Linked DNA regions of Stegostoma tigrinum. The protein of the gene in region 2 purifies or fractionates together with the protein of the main gene of each other region. This does not show direct contact. Links are inferred from orthologs where the notes say so. Each region holds a gene or a part of one and is shown on either strand. Other genes may lie near its edges.

Region 1 (10,575 bases), on a different chromosome or scaffold from region 2:
GGGCCTCCTGCACTGCCACAATGATGCCACCCGAAGGTTGCAGGAACAGCAACTCATATTCCGCCTGGGAACCCTGCAGCCATATGGTATCAATGTGGACTTCACCAGTTTCAAAATCTCCCCTTCCCCTACTGCATCCCTAAACCAGCCCAGTTCGTCCCCTCCCCCCACTGCACCACACAACCAGCCCAGCTCTTCCCCCCCCACCCACTGCATCCCAAAACCAGTCCAACCTGTCTCTGCCTCCCTAACCGGTTCTTCCTCTCACCCATCCCTTCCTCCCACCCCCAGCCGCACCCCCAGCTACCTACTAACCTCATCCCACCTCCTTGACCTGTCCGTCTTCCCTGGACTGACCTATCCCCTCCCTACCTCCCCACCTACACCCTCTCCACCTATCTTCTTTGCTCTCCATCTTCGGTCCGCCTCCCCCTCTCTCCCTATTTATTCCAGTTCCCTCCCCCCATCCCCCTCTCTGATGAAGGGTCTAGGCCCGAAACGTCAGCTTTTGTGCTCCTGAGATGCTGCTTGGCCTGCTGTGTTCATCCAGCCTCACATTTTATTAACTATATAAATACCATGGTTACAAAAGCAGGTCAGAGGCTAGGAATCCTGCAGCGAGTAACTTGCCACCTGACTCCCCAAAGCCTGTCCCACCATCGATGAGGCATAAGCCAGATGTGTGATGGAATATTCCTCGCTTGCTTTGGTGAGTGCAGCCCTGACGACACTCAAGAAGCTCAGCAACATCCAGGGCAAAGCATCAACTTTATTGGTACTATATACAGAAGCATTCACTCCCTCCACCACCGACGCTCAGTAGCAGCAGTGTGTACCATCTACGAGATGCACTGCAGAAATGATCATCTAAAGGACAAGGGCTGCATGTACTCGGGAACACTACCCCCTGCAAGTTTTCCTCCAAGCCACTCCCCATCCCGACTTGGAAATATATCAACGTTCCTTTGTTTCTGGGTCAAAATCCAGGAATTCCTTCCCTAAGGGCATTATGGGTCTACCTCCAGCACGTGGACCAGCTCACTGCCACCTTCTCAAGGGCAGCAAATGTTGGCCCAACCTGTGTGCTGTGAGTGAATAAAAATACCAACTGAAATGAGCACAGAGTGCTGGAGAAACTCATCAGGTCTGGCGGCATCTGTGGAGAGAAAGCAGAGCCAATGTTTGAGTCCAGAATATCTTGTCCTCAGAACTGAGCCATGCTAGACTTAAACAGAAATTGCTGGTGAAACTTAGCAGGTTTGGCAGCATTTTATGGAGAGAAAGCAGAGGCAAAGTTTCAATCCAGTGATCTTTCTTCAGAATCACTTTGCAGAAAGGTCATTGGGCCCAAATCATTGACTCTTTCTGTCCACGGATGCTGCTAGACCTGCTGAGTTTCGCCAGCACTTTCTGTTTTTGTTTCAGATTTACAGCATCCACAGTTTTTATGTTTTGTCTTTCACACTGGACTTCTTGGGCTGAATGGCCTACTTCTGCTACTGTGTCTTCTCTTCAAACCGGGCTGATGGGGGTTAGCTACAGATCAGCCATTGATCTAATAATGGAGAGATAGAGTTGTTAATTTGGTGCAAATCTTACGGAAGTAAAATTCTGCAGATGTTGGAAATCTTAAACAAATACAAAGAGTAGCAGAGTTGCCCTGGGCTCACAATGGTAACTGTGTTCCTCATTGCACAAATGCTGCCAGACCTGCTGACTTTCTCCACCGTTCCCTGTGTTTGTTACAGATTTTCAGCATCTGCAATGTTGCTATTATTTTAACATTTACACCTGTTTTACTCTGATTCCCCTTTACCTCATTGTCACTGCCTTTGTCTTTGGTCTGCATCACTTTTTCCATCTATTCCACTTGCTTTGTTTACAGCATAAAGCCATCATTTTCCAGCTCCTTTCAGTTTTGAAGAATAGCTGACCTGGACTCTGAAATGTTAACTGTGTTTCTATCTCCACAGCGGCTGCCAGACTTGATGAGATTCTACAGCATTGTGTTTGTTTCAGATTCACAGCATTTTGCTTTTCTAAAACTGACAAAGTCCTCTCTCTCTTTCATCTCTTAAAATTAATTAATGCCCTCTTGCTCACCCTGTTATTTGTCTTTTTCTGCTCGGAGAGCCGTGGTGGAGTTGTCACTGTGTGATAAGTATGGGCACCACATGGCTTTCGCATTGCCTCCCCTCTGGAATTCAGACTGCTTTGTCCACGTTTGGACATGTTTCGGAGATGGGGACCCTGTCAGAACTCAAACCTAACAGCAGTTATTGTCGAGTAAGTTAGTGCAGGTTGACAGCATTGTCGAAGACCTATTTTGGTGGTCCATCTTTGATGGCTGTGCTTTCATCTGCTTTGCTCCAAGCTCTGGAATTTGCTTTCCTTAAACCTCCCTGGTCTTCTCCCTTTAACACTGTTCTTAACACCTGTCTTTCCTATTGTGTCACCTACTTCCTTGGGAGCCTTGGCTTCTAATCTTGTCACAATCTCTCACTATGAAGCACTGTGGATTTTATCAAAAATTAAAACTGCTATGTCAACAATGTTGTTGTAAAGGTGCAGTGTAATAGTAGATGAGCTGTTAGATGACCTTGCTGAAGTCAAATAGTCGTTCTTTCAGCATCGTATTCTCTCAAACATTCAGAAATGTCAACGGCAAATTAAGTTACTTGACAGGCATGTGAATGTACCAAGGTTGTTGTTAATTTCCATGATTGGGGAAATGTTATAAAACAGCAGCTCTGTGAATTGTATACCTAATCATCTGGACTGTTGAGGCAGTGCAGCCTTGTTAATGAAGATCTCATTCTCAGTTAAGCACAATTCCAGGTAGCAAACCTTTTTGACTTCTGTTTTAAATGTAACCCCCTGGAATAAGTCACCTTGGCTTTTGGCGTTACTTCTATTTTGCTTTGAATTTAGTACTTGCCTTTAGCCTTTTGAGAGTTTGGTGCGTTACAGCAAAAACAGCATTGACATTTGCAATTGTCTACATTACCCAGTTGTAACTGATATCAACACTCTAATCAATGCAGGTGTAGAGAAAATGTGCAAAATTACAAAGGTCATGGTACTCACAGGAACATGTCTAGGTTCTCCATATTGGCCCTGAGGGATGGATGCTTGTGGTATAAGCACCAGTGATTAAAAATCTGCATTTTTGGGGCATTAATACATCTTACAGTAGATTTAATTGGATTAATAGAGATCAAATCATCCAATGGCAATGGATACCTATTGAATATAAATTTCCAGATTATAATCTGGATAAAGATGAGAAATTTCATTATAAGGAGGGTTAATTGTGTGTTGAATGCCCTACCAAAATATGGGTGTAAGCAGCTTTTTTGAAGGGAAGTTGTGTTATAATACAGATGGGCATGAGCTGGCACAGGCAGGCTGAATGTTGTGTCTGTGCTGTCACATTGAATAATTCTGAGATCCCCAAAGCAGGACGCTGTTGCAGAAAATTTTCGACATGAATGCGCAAAATTCCTATCTCAAAACCACATTTGAATGTGGCATTGATGATGCCCACGGTTAATTCTAGTGAAGACAGTGTATGTTGTACCCACAACCTGCCGCAAGGTTGGCAGTTTTCACTGTGTCAGGAGCAAGGCACAAAGCTGGAACACAAACACACACTCTGGTTACATTGCAAGAATTTAACCTGTTCTGAGAACTCCTTCCTCATTCCTCCAGAGTTTTGCTTCTCAGCCTTTCCCATTTAGTATCGGCTGTGATGAAGTGAGCAGAACTGTTGCCTTGAGGTCAGAACGTTGTGGGTTCAAATTCCACTTCAACACTTGTAAGTCCCTGTGCAACACTGAGGGGTGCTACGCTGTCGGAGGTACTGTCTGTGGATGAGACATCAAAAACAAGGGCCGATCAACCCCCTCATGTTGATATTGAAGATTCTCTGTCATTACTTTGACGAAGAGCAGGGAAATTATCCTGGTGTCCACACTGTCAACCTTGCACAAGCAGCTTGTTATCGCATAGCTAATTGTAGGAGTACATTTGACTTAAATTGAATGCCATATTTTAATAATGCACTTCATTTCAAACATACTTCATGGCTATAAAATACTACGGAGTGTTTGGCATTCATGAAAGGTGCTAGCCTTTTCCTTTTGGCTTTCTGGCAATGTGTCCTATTGATTTCCCCCCCCACACTGCTCTTGTATTGACCTGGAGTTTTCAGGATGGGACTCTGCACTTTTTTGTACACAGTGACTGCAGGCAGACCATTTACAGTCTGAACGCACGACACCATGGAGCAAATACTATGCACAGACAGCTCCCCTTCATGTTTAAAAAAAAACTGACTTTGAGAGCCAGTGAATTTCACCCTGGAAACTACAGATTAAGCTCACCTATTGGACATAGAATGCTAGGACGATGCAGGGACCTGGAGGGATAATGTTTTCACACAGAAGGTGGTGTATTTATGGAACCCAGGTGCCCAAGGAAGTGGTGGAGGCTGTACAATTACAACATTTAAAAGGCCATCCGCATGGGTATGCAAGTAGGAAAGGTTTAGAGGGATATGGGCTGTCTTTTTCTCTAAGGTGGGGGATTTCAAGACTGGGGGGATATATTTAAGGTGACATGAGAAAGATTTAAAACACGTGAGAGGCAATTTTTTTTGGCTCTGTTTACACTAGTTCATATGTGGAATGAACTTGCACAGAAAGAGGTGGATGTGTGTACAGCTGCGACATTGAAATGACATTTGGATGAGTACATGAGTAGAATATGATGGGAGGGATATGGGCCAAGCACAGACAGGTGGAGCTAGTTTAGTTTGGGATTATGGTCAGCATGGATTAGTTGGACCAAAGGGTCTGTGTCTGTGTTCTATGACTGTGAAAGTAGGACTAGACAACTCGCAACTGGAACGTTCCAAGGAAATGTTTCTCAATGACATCCAATTAGACCCCCATTTAGGGAGGTTTGGAGGGGCTGGGGGAATGATTGGGACTCACCATCTATGGAACAATGACGAGTGAATGTAGGATAGTGTGAATGAAAATATAGGTGCAGAAGGTAAGTAGATGTTGATGTTTTGAGGGAAATTGAATGTTAACTGACATTATTTAAGCAGCAGAACAAAATAGTTGTCGGGGATTAATGTAATGACTTCAGCGTATGTAAACAAGATGGTTCGTGAGCTTAGACTGGCCACTTTTCCCAACATTTCCTTTGGGGACTTTAAGATTCTGTCCCTGTTATTGCTGTCTTCTAGATTTGATGCCAGCATCATTTTTGATCTGTGCTCTTTTTGTTTTCGTTACTTGTGACTGATTTTAAAAAGTTGCTTTTGAATCCAGGACTTGGCTTGTTTGGTATTTTTGGCCACATCCAGGATTCAGGAGCTTGGACACACTACGCCACAGACCACCTTAATGCTGTTTCCTTGGGGTTGCATGTTTTCCCCACCTACGGAGCTTGTATCTGTTTTAACTGCGCATTCATATGCTTTCTATTGCAGAGGCGACAGAGGACGTGGCCGTGGACGTTTTGGTGCAAGGGGTGGCCCAGTTGGGGGGTACGTGTCACGAGACAGTCGTTTGCTAAAGATTTTTTCTGTTACAATCCAGATTTTATTAATTTGAAACTTTTATTTCTCTCCAACGTAAACAGGTTCAGACCATTCGTTCCTCACATCCCATTCGACTTCTATGTGGTAGGTGACAGTATCTTTTCTCAACACGTCACAGAGCACTGTGCAGCCGATGAGACAATTTTGACACCCAGTCATTGTTATATGTTAGCTAATTGTACACATTAAGCTGTATGGTAATGACTGGGTAAACTACAACAGGGAGTTGCTGGAGTGAATATTGACCTAGATGCCAGAGCCTGCCTTTGAGTGGTTACAATGGGCTCCTTTACCTCCACCTGAGAGTGGAGATGCCAGTGTTCGACTTGGGTAGACATAGTCAGAGATCACATGACACCAAGTAAGAGCCCCAACAGGAGATAGCAAGAACTGCAGGTGCTAGAGTCACAGTCCGAACAGGTTTATTTGAATCACAAGTTTCAAAACACTGCTCCTTCGTCAGTTGAAGTGGAAGGACCTGTACCGGCACAGAATTTATATGCAGAGAGATAATGGCAAGATAATTACAGGTAACTAAGAATGGTCATCCCCTCACTTGCTAGTCTGCTGTTGTCACTTCACTTACACCATTTAACACTTTTTTGATCACCTGCATAGAAATGTTATTCTGCTTGTCAATACTCTACTCACACACTATTGGGGAGCACTGTTGTGGGGAAATGTTAGCCCACTCAAGGACAGTGGAGTGAGTGTGTGTGTCTGTGTGTGTGTCTGTGTGTGTCCAGAAGAGGTCGGTGGAGAGGTCTTAAAAGATAACTCTGTACCAGTATTTGTGAAAGAGAAGTAATTGGAACAGGGGTGATCTCAGGGAACAGAGAGTCGCATTACTAAACCAAGTTGCTATTAAAAAAGAAGTGGTGATGTGTGTCTTAAAAAGTATTAAGATAGATAAGTCCTCTGGTCCTGGTGGGATCTATCACAGAATATTGAGGGAGGGAAGAAAGCCCGTCGCTGGACCACTGACAGGCATCTTTCTATCCTCTTTGGTGACAGGTGAGGTCCCAGAGGACTGGAGAATAACCATTGTTTAAAAAGCGTATTGGGGATAATCCAGGAAATTACAGGCCTCTAAGCCTCATGGTGGTAGGGAAATTAGTGCAATAGATTCTCAGGGTCAAGATCTATAAGCATTTAGAAGCAAATGGACTGACTAACACTCAACAGCATGGTTTTATGCAGGAGAGGCCGTGCCTCAATAACTGATTTGAATTTTTTGAGGAGGTGATGGAAATGATTGAGGGAAAAGTGGCTGAGGTTGTCTACATGGACTTCAGTAAAGCCTCTAACAAGGTCCCTCGTAGCAGACTGGTACAAAAGATGAAGTCACATGTTATTGAGGTGAGCTGGCAACATGGATACAGATCTGACTTAATGATTGGAGACAGGGTAGCAGTGGAAGAATGCTTTTCAGAAGGGAAGGTTGTGACTGGTGATGTTCCACAGGGATCACTGCTGGGACCTCTGCTTGCGATCTACATCAATGATTTGAAGGAAAACATAGCTGGTCTAATTAGTAAGTTTGCAGATTATAACAAAGATCGGTGGAATTGAGAATAGTGAGGAGGATTGTCAGAGGATACAGCAGGTTATAGATCATTCGGAGGTACGGGCAGAAAAATAGCAAATGCGTGTTTAATCCGGACAAATGCATTTTGGAAGGTCAAGTACAGGAACTTATACAGTGAATGGCAGAACCCTTAGGAGTATTGACATGCAGAGGGATCTTGCTGTGCAGATCCACAGATCACTAAGTGGCTGTGTACGTAGAAAGGTGGTTTAAAAAAGGCCTACAGCAGCGTGCTTGCTTTCTTTGGAAGGGGCGTTGACTACAAGGATAGTCAAGTTATGCTGCGGCTTTAGAGAAGTTTAGTTAGGCCATACCTAGAATATTGCTGACAATTCTGGTCCCCTCACTGCCAGAAAGATGTGGATGCTTTGGAAAGGAAATAGAAAAGGTTTGCTAGGATGTAGCCTGGAATGGGAATTTTAGCTATAAAGAAAGGTTGGATAGACTGGGCTTGTTTTCACTAGAATGCAGGAGGGCAGCTAGAAAGAAGTTCATAACATTGTGCATGGCCTAGATAGTGTGAAAAGAATGCGGTCTTTTCCCAGGGTGAAGGGGTCAATTACTAGAGATACAGATTCAAGGTACCATGGGGGTGTTCAAAAGAGATGTGTGAAAAATGTGCCTTGCACAAAAGTAGCATTCACGAATCACTTGAATGAATACAAGCATAGGAAGGGAATAGAGGGATATGGATCCTGTAAGTGAAGACCGTTCTAGTGTGGAACGGCAAAATGTGCTGGCGCAGGCTTGGAGGGCTGAAGGACCTGTTCCTGTGCTGGATTGTTCTTTGTTCTGTTGTACTTATCTTTTGATACTCTTAATTACCTTGAATTATCTTGTTGTTATATCTCCACGCATAAATTCTGTCCCAGTGCGCTTCCCTTCATGTCACCTGATGAAGGGGCTACACGCTGAAAGCTTGTGATTTCAAATAAACCTCTTGCACCATAACCTGGTGACAAGTAACTTCTGACTTTGTCCATCTGAAAGGGCAGGTGGGACCTTATTTTTACATTTCCCTTAAAGCTAGCGCCTCTGACACCACAGCCCTCCTTCAACTACCACACTGATTTGTTGGCCTGTATTTTGTCCTGATGTTCCTGGGCTGTGAACCCATGGCCTTTTGACTTGGGGGACAGTGCTCTGCGCTAATCCATGGCCGATGTACAGTGCTTGTTAAAGCTGGCACAGTGCATTGGCACCACCTGGGCTCCTCTGGTTATTCTGTTACATTCAAATGTCTGCCTGCTTCATTGGGCAATATGTAGGGTCCACTTGACCTCCATGAAAAGGAAAGTTGGGTTGTGTGTGTACTGTTGTTAGAGCAAGCATTTGGAGCTTTATATCTGCTCTGTAAATTCCACGAATTTGGTGCTTTGTAGCCTGACTTCCATTTGATGTTAAAGCTTGAGCGCATTGTTGAGACGAACACTCCACTGATGCCCGTTAGGCCAGACATTAAACCAAGGCACCTATTTGACTCGTTCAGTATAACATTCAAAGACTCAATGAGACTGTTCGGAAAGAAGCAGTGGTTTCTTGATCCATTGATTATTCTGTGAAAAAGCAGACTAAAGCAAGTTGTTGTAATGTTTTGTACATCAAGATAGCTGAATTTGGAGTGTAATTGATTAATGGGAGGTGTTTTTGAAATATTTGAATGTTTTATGTAGCATTTCTTTTGGTTAATGAGAAATAACTTGACACTGATGACTTGGTTGACTGTGGTCTGGTGAGAGTGGCAGCTTCTACCTTGTAAGACACCAGCTGGTTTAACCAGTTTGCTCCTGATGTTTACTTCGCTCAATCCACCTGCCTCACCTGGAGCAGTCAGAGTCATATAACATGGAAATAGACCCTTCGTCCAACTTGTCCTTGTTGACCAGATATACCAATCTGACCTAGTCCATTTGCAAGCATTTGGTTCATATCCCTGTAAACCCGTCTTATTCATATACCCGTCCAGATAACAAACGAATATTGTAATTGTACCCGCTCTGCCACTACCTCTGCCAGCTCATTCCATACACACACCACGCTTTGCGTTTTTAAAACAAGGTTATCCCTCAGGTACGTTCTAAATTCTTCCCCTCTCACCTTAAACCTATACTGTCGAGTTTTGGACTCCCCCCATGCTAGGAAAAAAGACCTTGGCTATTTGCCCTTTCTATGCCCCTCGTGACCTTATAAACATCTGCAAGTCACCCTTCAGGTGCCGATGGTCTGGAGAGAAAAACCCAGCATATTCAGTCTCTCCCTATAACTCATACCCTCTAGTCCCAGCAACATTCCTCTACATTGGGGAAACCAAGCGGAGGCTTGGGGACCGTTTTGCAGAACACCTCTGCTCGGTTTGCAATAAACAACTGCACCTCCCAGTTGCAAACCATTTCCACTCCCGCTCCCATTCTTAAGACAACATGTCCATCACGGGCCTCCTGCAGTGCCACAATGATGCCACCCAATGGTTGCAGGAACAGCAACTCATATTCCGCCTGGGAATCCTGCAGCCCAATGGTATCAATGTGGACTTCATCAGCTTCAAAATGTCCCCTTCCCCCACCACATCCCAAAACCAGCCCAGTTCGTCCCCTCCCCCCACTGCACCACACAACCAGCCCAGCTCTTCCCCTCCACCCACTGCATCCCAAAACCAGTCCAACCTGTCTCTCCCTCCCTAACCTGTTGTTCCTCTCACCCATCCCTTCCTCCCACCCCAAACCGCACCTCCATCTCCTACCTACTAACCTCATCCCACCTCCTTGACCTGTCCGTCTTCCCTGGACTGACCTATCCCCTCCCCACCTATACTCTCCTCTCCACCTATCTTCTTTTCTCTCCATCTTTGGTCCGCCTCCCCCTCTCTCCTTATATATTCCAGAACCCTCACCCCATCCCCCTCTCTGAAGGGTCTAGGCCTGAAACGTCAGCTTTTGTGCTCCCGAGATGCTGCTTGGCCTGCTGTGTTCATCCAGATTCACACTTTATTATCTAACATTCTTGTAAATCTTTACTGCACAATCTCAAGTTTAACAAATCCTTCCTATAGAAGGACGACCTGAACTGCGTGCAGTGTTTCAAAAATGACTTCACCGATGTCCTGTATAGCTGCAACGTGACATCCCAACTCTTGTCAGAGATAGTAAGGACTGCAGATGCTCGAATCAGAGGTAACTGCGTGCAGCTGGAGGAACGCAGCAGTCCGGGCAGCATCAGAGGAGCAGGAAAGTTGACGTTGCAGGAAGGGAGCTCAGAAATAGAGAGGAGGGGTGGGGCTGGGGAGGATAGGTGAATGCAGCTAGGGGAGATGGGGATTGGTCAGTGGGATGGATGGAGTGGATAGTAGAGAAGCTGGAAAGGTTGTGTCAGGTTA
Region 2 (11,641 bases):
ACATGTAATGTAAAAGATTATTCACGTAATGGATGAAAGGGGCAACAGCTATGTGAATACAAAATTACCTTTGAAAAAACATGTTAGCAATGAATAACGTTGTTTCACAACTGAAGTCAGTGCACACCTACATCCTGAAAGACTTTGGTTCATTGAATTCCTACAACCTGGATTCGAGTGTTTGAGAGACACTTTCATGGGATATAGACATCGTTGTTTGTTGCCCATTCAAATTGCCCTTGAACTGAGTGTCTTGCTAGGCCATTTCAGAGGGCAGTTAAAAGTTAACGTATTTCTGTAGGTGGGCAATCAAATATAGGCCGGACCAAGTTGGCATGGAAAATTACCTTGCCTAGAAGGACACTGATGTGGAAGTGCCGGTATTAGACAAGGTTGGACAAAGTCAGAAGTCGCATGACACCAGGTTACCGTCCAACAAGTTTACCTGAAATCACAAGTTTTTAAGAGCACTGATCCTTCATCAGGTAAAGGTGACTTCACCTGATGAAGGAGCTGTGCTTCTAAAGCTTGTCATTTTGAACAAACCTTTTTGAACTGTAACCTGGTGTCTTGTGACTTCTTATTTAAAAGGACATTAGTAGGCCAGATTGATTTTTATCACAATTGATAGTTTTCATTGTCACCGTCAGTGAGGACCAGTTTGATATTCCAGATTTTATTCAGTGAATTTAAATTGTACTAGCGGATGGTGGGATTTGTATCCTAGAGTATTCGCCTGGGCCTCTGGATTGCTTGTCAAATTACTTTGCTGTTAATGTCACCATCTCTGTTGGGGTTGAGGTACAGTTCCAAAATTTGTAGAGGAGATCAAGCTTAGCTAATCAGTGAGGATGGTAGCATCCCTCAGGAGCATATCAGCAGACACAACACAAGGATTTCTAATATCACTTGATTGGAGACATTTCAGGGAATGTTCACTAGTGTGATCGGGTTGCTAAGATGAAAGGTGATCTTGGTGAAATATATAGGATTGTTTAGAGGCTTTACAGGGTACATGCTGAGATGACGTTTCCCCGAGTAGCAGAGTAAAGGACGAGAGCGCATAGTCTCAGAAATAAAGGACCATCAATTTAAGATTGATTTGAGGAGAGATTTCTTCTGTTTGAGGGTTGAGCATCTTTGGACTTCCTTGCTGTTGACAGCTGTGGGGGAAGTGCCCTTGTGTAGATTTCAGACTGAGAGACACTGATTCTTGTCCACCAAAGGAATCAAGGGTTATGGAGAAAAGATAGAAAACTGGACAGTGAGAGCCTTTTTCCTCGGATGGTGATGGCTAACACAAGGGGACATAGCTTTAAATTGAGGGGTGATAGATATACGACAGATGTCAGAGGTAGGTTCTTTACTCAGAGTAGTAAGGGCGTGGAATGTCCTGCTTGCAACAATAGTAGACTCGCCAATTTTAAGGGCATTTAAACTGTCATTGGATAAACATTTGGATGATAATGGAATAGTGTAGGTTGGATGGGCTTCAGATTGATTTCATTGGTCACGCAACATCAAGGGCCGAAGGGCCTGTACTATGCCATTATGTTCTAGCAATGATTGTTCTGAATGATAGCGCAGGCTTGAGAAGCCCAACAGCCTGCTCTTGTTCCTGTTTCTTATGGTCTTGTGGAAGTTTGCAAGATGCAAAACAGACTAATCATCATTTTTCATTTTCTTCTGGCTACAGGCTTAGCAAGAGAACTGGAGGAGCTACTGCTCACATTGTTGAGAGTGAAGGGATACATTAAGCAATTACAAACCAGACATGCTAACCTGTTACTGGAAAAATTCAGTATGATTGAATAAACTCATCATTTAGAAAAAGATGGATTAATCATGGATAATCGAAATAGATTTGTTAAGGAATGATCCTAATTAATTACTGAATTTTTGAGTTGGTATGAGGAGGTTGGATTGGGGTAATCCTTGTGATACATAGATTTCATATGAAAATCGAAATGCCGTGGAATCTATGATAAATTGACACGTTGATTCAAAATTGACTGCTAACAAAAAGTAATATTCATTAAGTGCTTTTGTAGCTGTACAGTTGTTTCCTGTCATGTTATTGGGCTTCGCATAGGGTTTCTTGCTCTTCATGGGTACCAAAGAAGAAGCATTGGACTGCAGGAACCTAAAATATTGATTGTTGATAAGATAGCAAAGTGACAAATGATATTTAATCCTTAGAAATGTATTGTAGAAGGTTAACAAGACAAGGAAATAGGCCTGGAACGTCAGTCTTCCTGCTCCTCTGATGCTGCTTGGCCTGCTGTGTTCATCCAGCTCCACACTTTCTTATCTGATTCTCCAGCGAGTGCAGTTCCTACTATCTGTGAAGGAAGTATAATACCCTTGAGAAGATGGTGGTAAGTTGCCTTCTTGAACTGCTGCAGTCCACCTGCTGGGGTTAGACCTACAGTGCTGTTAGGCAGGGAACTGCAGGAGTTTGACCAAGTGGAAAAATGAATGAACAGCAATATATTTCCAAGTCTGGATGGTGAGTGGCTTGGAGGGGAACTTTAAGGCAGTGGTGTGTATCTATTGCCCTTGTCCTTCAAGATGGAAGTGGTCGTGGAAAGTACTGTTGAGAATCTTGAATAAATTTCTGCAGTACATCTTGTATATGATACACACTGCTGCTACTGAGTGTTTATGATGGTGGGAGTGGATGCTAGTGGCTGTGGTGCCAATCCAACAGGCTCTTTTGTCCTGGATGGTGACAAGTTTCTTGAGTGTTGTTGGAGTTGCTCTCATCCAAGCAAGTTGGGTTTATTCCATCAGACTCCTGACTTGTGCGTGTTGTAGTTGGTAGACAGGCTTTGAGGAGTCAGGTGGTGAATTTGGATGGCACGGTGGATCAGTGGTTAGCACTGCTGCCTCACAGTGCCAGGGGCCCCCTCAGGCGACTGTCAGTGGGAGTTTGCACATTCTACCCCTGTCTGCGTGGGTTTCCTCTGGGTGCTTTGGTTTCCTCCCACAGTCCAAACATGTGCAGACTAGGTGGACTGGCCATGCTAAATTTTAGGAATGTGTAGATTAGGTGAGTTTGGGAAATGGGATTGGGTAGGAGGGTTGGTGTGGACTTGTTGGGCTGAAGGGCCTGTTTCTCCACAGTAGGGATACTATACTATACTATACTATGGATTATTTGCTGCAGTATTCATAATATGGGATAAATAATGGGACACGAGATCTTTAGAGAGACCATGTACTACATGTGTATATCCCAGATGTCTGAAAGTGGTTATGAAACCATATGATATTTCCCTTCATTATATGAGGTATAGAATATAAAATTAGGAAGCACTGCATAAAACAATTGTTAGATCATAACTACATCATTGCATACAGTTCTTGTCACTCTATTACAAGGAGAATGAAATTATACTGGAGAGAATAGATGTGTATTAGAATGTTGCCAGAATTGGAAAAGCTGCGAAGCCTCTTCTAGGGATGCCTAGCCTGAAGAAGTTACCCTCCTCCCTCTGGACAAGCCTCAGGGGATCTCTCTGCCACTGCTTAACTTTTCTGTCTCTTCTCCACCTTATCTTCTTCTCCTATCCATCTTCGATCCCCCCTCCCCACCCCCCCCCCCCTTTCCTGATGAAGGATCCAGGCCCGAAACGTCAGCTTTTGTGCTCCTAAAATGCTGCTTGGCTGCTGTGTTTATCCAGCTCCACACTTTGTTATCTTGGAAAAGCTGGGTTGTTTTAACTGAAATTGAGGGACTGAAGGTAGATTTAATCAAGGTGTTGAAAATAATGAAGCAGCAGGACTGATTAGAACTTTGAACTGTAAAAGAATTGAGAGTTACGGTGAGCAGGTGCGCAAGTGGAGCGAAATAATGAAAAGATCAGCCATACATGATCATCTTGAGCAGTCGTCTTGACAGATCAAGGCCTATTCCTGCTCCTATTTCTTATGTTATTACCTGGTCTGACCTACATGTGACTCCAGACCCACAGCAATGTGGTTGTCTCTTGTCTTTTATGTCTTATGGTCTCTTAACTGCTTTCTGGACAATTAAGGATAAGCAATAAATGCTGCCCTAGGTCGTGACATCTATATCTTTGAAACAAAAATAGGCCTTTTTTTTTCTTTTGAAACTATTTCTTCCTTTCTTCTCCCCAATCTGCACTACCGCCACACCCCAGCCAGCACATCTCTATATCCCTAACCAATCTCCACACTCCCTCAACTACCCTCCAATTCACTGATATACACACAATTTCAGAAGACAGTACTCATTCAGTTCAGGCACCAGACAGCACCCTCCTTCCCCCAGTAAGTAAGGATGCCCTCTCCATTCCATCTCCCCCAGTCAGGACACCCGATCAGAGTCCTACAACATGGAGACAGACTCTTTGGCCCAAACTTGTCCATGCTGACTAAAATGTCCATCCACACTAACCTCATTTTCCAGCACTTGGCCCTTTTCCTTGTAAACTTTTCCTATCCATGTATTTGTCCAAACGTCTTTTAAAAGTTAATTGTACCCACCTCAACTACTTCTGCTGGGGGCATATTCCACCTTGTGTAAAACATTGCCCCTCAGGTTCCCTTTTTTCCCCCCCCTTACCTTAAACTGATGCCCTCTAGTCCTCTATTCCCCAACCCTAGGAAAAAGATTTAGTGCGTTCACCCTATCCATGCCTCTCATGATCTTTTACACTGCTGTAAGATTCCCCTCCCCTCAGTCTCTTACTCTCTCAAGACAAATGTCCTAACTTGTCCAAACCCTCCATATAACTCAGTCTAAATTTTTTCTGCACTTTTTCAGGTTTAATAACATTCTTCTTACAGCAAGGTGACCAAAACTGAACATAATACCAAGTGTGGTCTCATGAATGTCATGTACAACTGCACTATAACTTCCCAATTTCTCCACTCAGTGCCCTGACTGATCAAAGCCAGTGTGCCCAGAGCTGCCTTCACTGCCCTGACTATCTGTGATTCCACTTTCAGAGAACCTTGCACCTGAACTCCAAGGTCTCTCTGTTCCACTGCAGTCCTTAAGGCCCTACCATTCACCATGGAACTCCTAGATAACAAAGTGCAGAGCTGGATGTACACAGCAGGCCAAGCAGCATCTTTGGAGCACAAAAGCTGATGTTTTGGGCCTAGACTCTTCTTCGGAGAGGGTTCTGAAATAAATAGGGAGAGAGGGGGAGGCGGATCAAAGATGGATAGAGGAGAAGATAAGTGGAGAGGAGTGTATAGGTGGGGGGGGGGGGAGAGAGATTGGGGAGGATGGATAGATCAAGGAGGCGGGATGAGGTTAGTAGGTAGGAAATGGAGGTGCAGCTTGAGGTGGGAGCAGGGGATAGGTGAGAGGAAGAACAGGTTAGGGAGGCAGGGACGAGCTGGGCTGGTTTTGGGAGGCGGTGGGGGAAGGGGAGATTTTTAAAGCTTGTGAAGTTCACATTGATACCATTGGGCTGCAGGGTTCCCTAGCAGAATAGGAGTTGCTGTTACTGCAACCTTCGGGTGGCATCGTTGTGGCACTGCAGGAGACCCATGACTGACATGTCATCTAAAGAATGGGAGGGGGATTTGAAATAGTTCGTGACTGGGAGGTGCAGTTGTTTATTGCGAACCGAGCGGAGGTATTCTGCAAAGCGGTTCCCAAGCCTCCACTTGGTTTCCCCAATGTAGAGGAAGCCACACCGGGTACAGTGAATACAGTATACCATATTGGCAGATGTGCAGGTGAACATCTGCTTAATATGGAAGGTCATCTTGGGGCCTGGGATGGGGGTGAGGGAGGAGGTGTGGGGTCAAGTGTAGCATTTCCTGCGGTTGCAGGGGAAGGGGCCGGGTGTGGTGGGGTTGGAGGGCAGTGTGGAGCGAACAAGGGAGTCACGGAAAGAGTGGTCTCTCCGGAAAGCAGACAGGGGAGGGGATGGAAAAATGTCTTGGGTGGTGGGGTCGGATTGTAGATGGCGGAAGTGTCGGAGGATGATGCGTTGTATCCAGAGGTTGGTAGGGTGGTGTGTGAGAACGAGGGGGATCCTCTTTGGGCGGTTGTGGCGGGGGCGGGGTGTGAGGGATGTGTTGCGGGAAATGTGGGAGACGCAGTCAAGGGCGTTCTCGATCACCGTGGGGGGGAAGTTGTGGTCCTTGAAGAACTTGGACATCTGGGCTGTGCGGGAGTGAAATGCCTCATCGTGGGAGCAGATGCGGCGGAGGCGGAGGAATTGGGAATAGGGGATGGAATTTTTGCAGGAGGGTGGTTGGGAGAAGGTGTATTCTAGGTAGCTGTGGGAGTCGGTGGGCTTGAAATGGACATCAGTTACAATTGTAGATGGCGGAAGTGTCGGAGGATGATGCGTTGTATCCGAAGGTTGGTGGGGTGGTGTGTGAGAACGAGGGGGATTCTCTGGGGCGGATATTCCCCTCCCCATCTATACTCTCCTCCCCATCTATACTCTCCTCTCTACCTATCTTCTTTTTCTCTCCATCTTCGGTCCGCCTCCCCCTCTCTCCCTATTTATTCCAGTTCCCTCATCCCATCCCCCTCTCTGATGAAGGGTCTAGGCCCGAAACGTCAGCTTTTTGTGCTCCTGAGATGCTGCTTGTCCTGCTGTGTTCATCCAGCCTCACACTTTGTTATCTTGGAATCTCCAGCATCTGCAGTTCCCATTATCCCTGATCACTCATACCCCGTCCTCCTTCATCGACTTCCTCCTAACACGGCATCCTATTGGACAAAGCCCCTCCCCTTCACACAAACACCACCCCCCCAGCCAAACCTTTCCTGTGGGGATTTGCGATTGGCCAGCCGGTTGCGGGGCGGCCGTTGCCCGGGGTGACGGTGGGCGGGGCCCGTACCGTGCGACCGCGGCCGGGAAACCCCGTGCGGCGCCGGGAGCGGGATCCATGAGGCGGCCGCGGCCATTTTAGCGAGATCCACCAGAGCGAGGGAGGAGAGGGCGAGGGAAATAAATAAATAAAATAGATCGTTAAAACATCAATCCGTCGGAGCGCGGGAACGGGGTGGCGGAGCTGAACCGAACCGCATCGCACCGGCAGCCCCGAGAGTAAGGTGAGGGGGTAGGCCGGGGGTGCTCGGCGGCGGGAAGGAGTGTGTTTGTAAAGCCGGGGCCGCGGGTTGAAGCAGAAGCCCGCGGAGCCTTCACTGTGCCCCGCTAGGCCGCAGCCCCGGCACTTTGTCCCTTTTTCCCCTTCCGGGGGGGCGGGGGAAGCAGGTGGTGGTCTCTGTATGAGCGCCCGAGCGTGTGATTTTATTTCCTTGATGGGGTGAGAAAGGAGGGAGTTATAGCCCGCGGGTTTTATTGCGATTCGCCAGTGATTGTCGACGCCCGTCGGACCCGCGGCATTTTCGGAGCTGGGCTTCGGGAGAGAGGGGGAGGGGAGAGGACAGGACGAGGTTTGGTGGGTGGTGGGGGGTGGGATAGGGGTGGATGCTGTTGTTGGGAAGCTCAAAATGAAAGGCCTCGGCCCTCTCTCTCCAATTCCCACTCCAGCCTCCCGTTTTATTCCCTCTTCGTTTGGATTGCCTTACAGTGTTCCTGGTCCCGCCGCGACCCTGTGTACTTTTATATTCATTCTCGCCACCCGGGCTTTTGTTCTTTTGTTGTAATTTTAAATGTATGCACGGCCCCGGCGCTTCGGGCTTATATTCACTTCGCCTATTTATTTCGCTCTCCTTCAAGGCGCCTGGTCTTCCTAACTCAGGACAAACGACGCTTTATTTTCAAAAAAAAGCCACACGGGATCAGATTTGCGTGATGCTGTCAAATGTTATTTTTAATTTTTTTTCCATAGTTGCAAACGCAGTAGAGCCTAAGTATTAAGCTTCATGCACACTTCCTGCACATCTCTCTTCCCCACCTCCCCTTCTAGCAGAGAATAGTTCAGTTTTCAATGTGCTTGTTGAATATTTCCATTTTTAAATATTTGTTTTTATCTATTACAGTTTTTTTCTTTGCTCGATTACTGTTGATGCAACATGTGGCCCGGCCATTGTTGTGCCGAGTTGACGCATGGCCGAGCTGAACATTTTAGTACACGTGGATTAACTAGTTTGGCTTCGTGATAAGAGCGAGTGGCTTTTTGGTCGTAGATGTGTCGGGAGACTTGTAGCATTGAATGGAATCTTTTTGTCCTAAAAGCTTTTGCTGTCTGCGCAGGTTATGAGTTGACTACTGTGCTTTAAAGTTCAAATGTATCTCTCCACCTCCTCCCCCCCGCCTTGAAAAATCTTAAAAATTACTTGCTTTGAAAGTGATTTCCATCGATCTAGGGTACAACAAAGAGGATTTGGATAAGGGTAGAACAATGGGCTTTCCATGATGATTGGGATTTCTAATTTGTGTTGGTTTTTTTTGAAAGATTGTGTACTTGCTGTGTTTCACTTAGCTTAGGCAGTGGATGAATCTCCTGAAAGGTTTATGTTGATATGTATGTGATACTACCTACAAGTTTGTTTGAAGCTTGGAGTTTTTAAATGGAATCTCTTGAAATTGCCAATGATTGGTTCTTGATTACGGCACATTTGGAGACGAGAATTTTTGCAATTTCTGCTGTATTACTGGCGTTGGTGTTGAAAGCTAGGTTTTCTCATTTTAAATAATTTAATTTTAGTCTGGAGAGTTCAATCTGAATTACCATGCAATATATTTCATAAAGATTTCATTGAATTGGATTGTATGAATTCCAAGTTGCATGTTTGTCCATGGTACAGATTGCATTTGTTAAGCTTTGGGAAGCTGTGTACTTGTTGCAATAGCTTGAGTAGTAATGCACACATTTGAGCATTCAATTTGTCATCATTTGGAACATTCTTTTTAAATCACTTAAACAGTAGTGGTCAATCCATACATTGTTGAAAGAACAATCATTGGAAGCCATACTTTCCCCTATGTGATTGTGTCATCATGAGTAATCAACTGGCCTTGATAATGAAATGTGGGTCTAGAAAGGGTCTAGGCCCAAATGTCAGCTTTTGTGTTCCTAAGATGCTGCTTGGCCTGCTGTGTTCATCCAGCCCCACGCTTTGTTATCTTGGATTCTCCAGCATCTGCAGTTCCCGTTATCTCTGATCAACTGGCCTTGATAAGCTTTAAGACATCTTGAGGTTGTTGAAGTGTTATCAATGCAAATTATAAGAAAATTGTTTCTGTTTAAGTTTCCTGAAGCTCATAAATTATTCTGTGGTGTACTTAAGCCGGAGCTGGTTTGTTCATAATACCCTGCATGTGTGCTTTGTGCATTATAGCAGTTAATAATTGTGTTAACTGCTTAGTATCTTAAAAAAAACTTATGCAAATGAAGTGTGAGTACTGTAGTTAAATTTAGTTTATGCAAGCATTCCCCTCCCAGTAAGCAAATGACTTTATACTTGGAGATCCCATTGTTCTTTACATGGTTATACCTCTTCCTCAATTCATTTATGGTGTAGCTCAGAAAGTAAGTGGACAGTTATGCATGTGGTATCTGTTTTTTGAAAGGGCTTCCCATTTTACCTCCCTTGGCCTTTTTTCCCCCTGTCCCTTTATGATTTTAAAAGTTCCACATTTTCATCTCTGTCTTCTGTTTATCAACTTTGCTGTTTGGGATTTCCCTCATTTGTGCTGTTGACCTGCTTGTACATAGAACATTACAGCACAGTACAGGCCCTTTGGCCCTTGATGTTGTGCCGTCCTGTCATAATGATCTGAAGCCCATCTAACCTACACTATTCCACGTACGTCCATATGCTTATCCAATGACGACTTAAATGTACCTAAAGTTGGCAAATCTACTACTTTGAACATTTTGTATCCGATTTCCCTTAAACATTCTTTGCTTTAAGAAGACAATCCCAGTTTTTTGAGCCTGTCCGCATAATTGAAGTCCCTCATTCCTGATACTATCCTTATAAATCTCTGCATCCTTTCAAAGACCTTGGCATTCTTCCCTGAAATGTGGCACCTAACATTAGATACCCAACTCTAGCTGAGGGCTGGTCATGGTTATTTTTAAAGGTTTCAATATACCATTTTTGTTATTGTACTCCTTAAAAACAAGGAACTCCAAAACACCAGCTTGTCAAGCCCGCTTTGAGACCTCTCTTCCTGCATTCTGTTCCAGGTTGTATCATTTATCATCTAATTTTTCCTCTAAATGAATGCCTGTATCTTTAAATTTTGCGAAAAAATCAGAGCAAATGTTTCGGGTCTAGTGACTCTTCCTCCAAACGTCTGCTTTTGTTCCTGATTTATAGCATCTGCAGTTCTTTCAGTTTGTATTTAAACTTTGCATGCTGTTTTGTTTGCCCATTTTACTAGTCATTGTCCCCTTGAAGTTGTTGACTGTTCTGTTTGCTGTTCATTATTTCCATTATTGGTCAAAATTTGGAGACTTTGAAATTCCCTCCACAGACACCCCCCCCCCCCCACACACACACACACACACACACACACACACACACACACACACACACACACACACACACACACACACACACACACACACACACACACACACACACGTGTGCACACACACGTGCAGACATGGCCATGCATTAATTTAGTAGTGATGATTGAGGGACCCATTGTATGCTTCCTTCCAACCTAAAAATGCAACTTTGCTTTCTACCTTTGAGCCAGAGTATGCACATTCTGGTCATATCCCTTGCAACCTCAAGTGCTTAACTTCTGCTTGCCAGGTATTTTGCAGCATTACATTTAACTTGTTTTGGAAGTTCATGGAATTAGCTGCTGTACCTTCACCAATTCTCTTCATATTGCATTGAAAAAATTTGGTCATGTCTTTAAGCCAGCATGGTCTTTTACAAAACTGTGCTGGCTGCGATTAATTATTACATACTTTTCCCTTGTGGAAATTTATTTTCCCAACAACTGCTATTAGGTTGACTGTCTTGCAGTTGCCGGTTTCATCTTTTTATGAGTGCATACATAACCTTTACAGCCTTTCAGGCTTTTGGCACCATTTTCATACCGAGGGATGAGTGAGAGAGAGTGCCAGAATAACTTCTGTTTTTACTACTTCTTGCAGTAATGTGTGCCCTATCTGTTTGGGGCGGTGTCTTCAGTTCCAGTTGATAGTGTTTTAAGAATCTCTCCTTTTTTTTAATCTATTTTGTAGAATTTGTTCTAACCATCTTTTACTGTGCTGGTGTTGCTGTTCTCATTTGAAGAGAAGATCGGTTTCACCAATAGTTGCAGAGTACACATTCAGTACTTTAGTCATGGTTTCTACCAGTTGAAGGTGATTTCCTTTTGGATCCTAAATGGCTCCACCTTCACTTTTGACTGCCCTTGTTGACCTGCATGAGCATTTTCAAAACAACACTGGAGCAACACTGTTTGTAAGGGATTTGGTAGCTGTAAGGAATGCATTTGTGTTAAGATTTGTAGTGCCTTTTACATTTGCATTCATTTGAGGGGGTAAAAAAAGCTCTTTTGAAACAGGCATTCATTCTGAAATATTCTTGTTTCAATTTGGAATTATAGTATTTGAGATGGAATTAAAATCCTGCTGTCTCGGATCTTTAACTTGTAAACATTGAGTATTAGCATTTGTAGTGAATTAGTAATCAATTGTTTCTGCTTGTCACTGTGAGTGATCGCAGGGGTAATGAGATTTATTTTACATTACATTA

The links.
Region 1: the proteins of heterogeneous nuclear ribonucleoprotein R (region 2) and ilf2 purify together in Homo sapiens (affinity purification with mass spectrometry; 3 studies listed by BioGRID and IntAct, counting the BioPlex papers as one, with this or other methods). This does not show direct contact. The link is inferred for Stegostoma tigrinum from reciprocal best matches to the Homo sapiens genes HNRNPR and ILF2.

Annotation. Positions count from the first base shown.
Region 1 is NC_081400.1:1,948,231-1,958,805, reverse strand, and holds the start of ilf2 (interleukin enhancer-binding factor 2 homolog), read left to right. Parts: upstream 1-5,482; 5' UTR 5,483-5,560; intron 5,561-5,655; 5' UTR 5,656-5,698; intron 5,699-10,575. UniProt on the Homo sapiens protein: Chromatin-interacting protein that forms a stable heterodimer with interleukin enhancer-binding factor 3/ILF3 and plays a role in several biological processes including transcription, innate immunity or cell growth.
Region 2 is NC_081377.1:35,785,442-35,797,082, forward strand, and holds the start of heterogeneous nuclear ribonucleoprotein R, read left to right. Parts: upstream 1-6,844; 5' UTR 6,845-7,057; intron 7,058-11,641. UniProt on the Homo sapiens protein: Component of ribonucleosomes, which are complexes of at least 20 other different heterogeneous nuclear ribonucleoproteins (hnRNP). hnRNP play an important role in processing of precursor mRNA in the nucleus.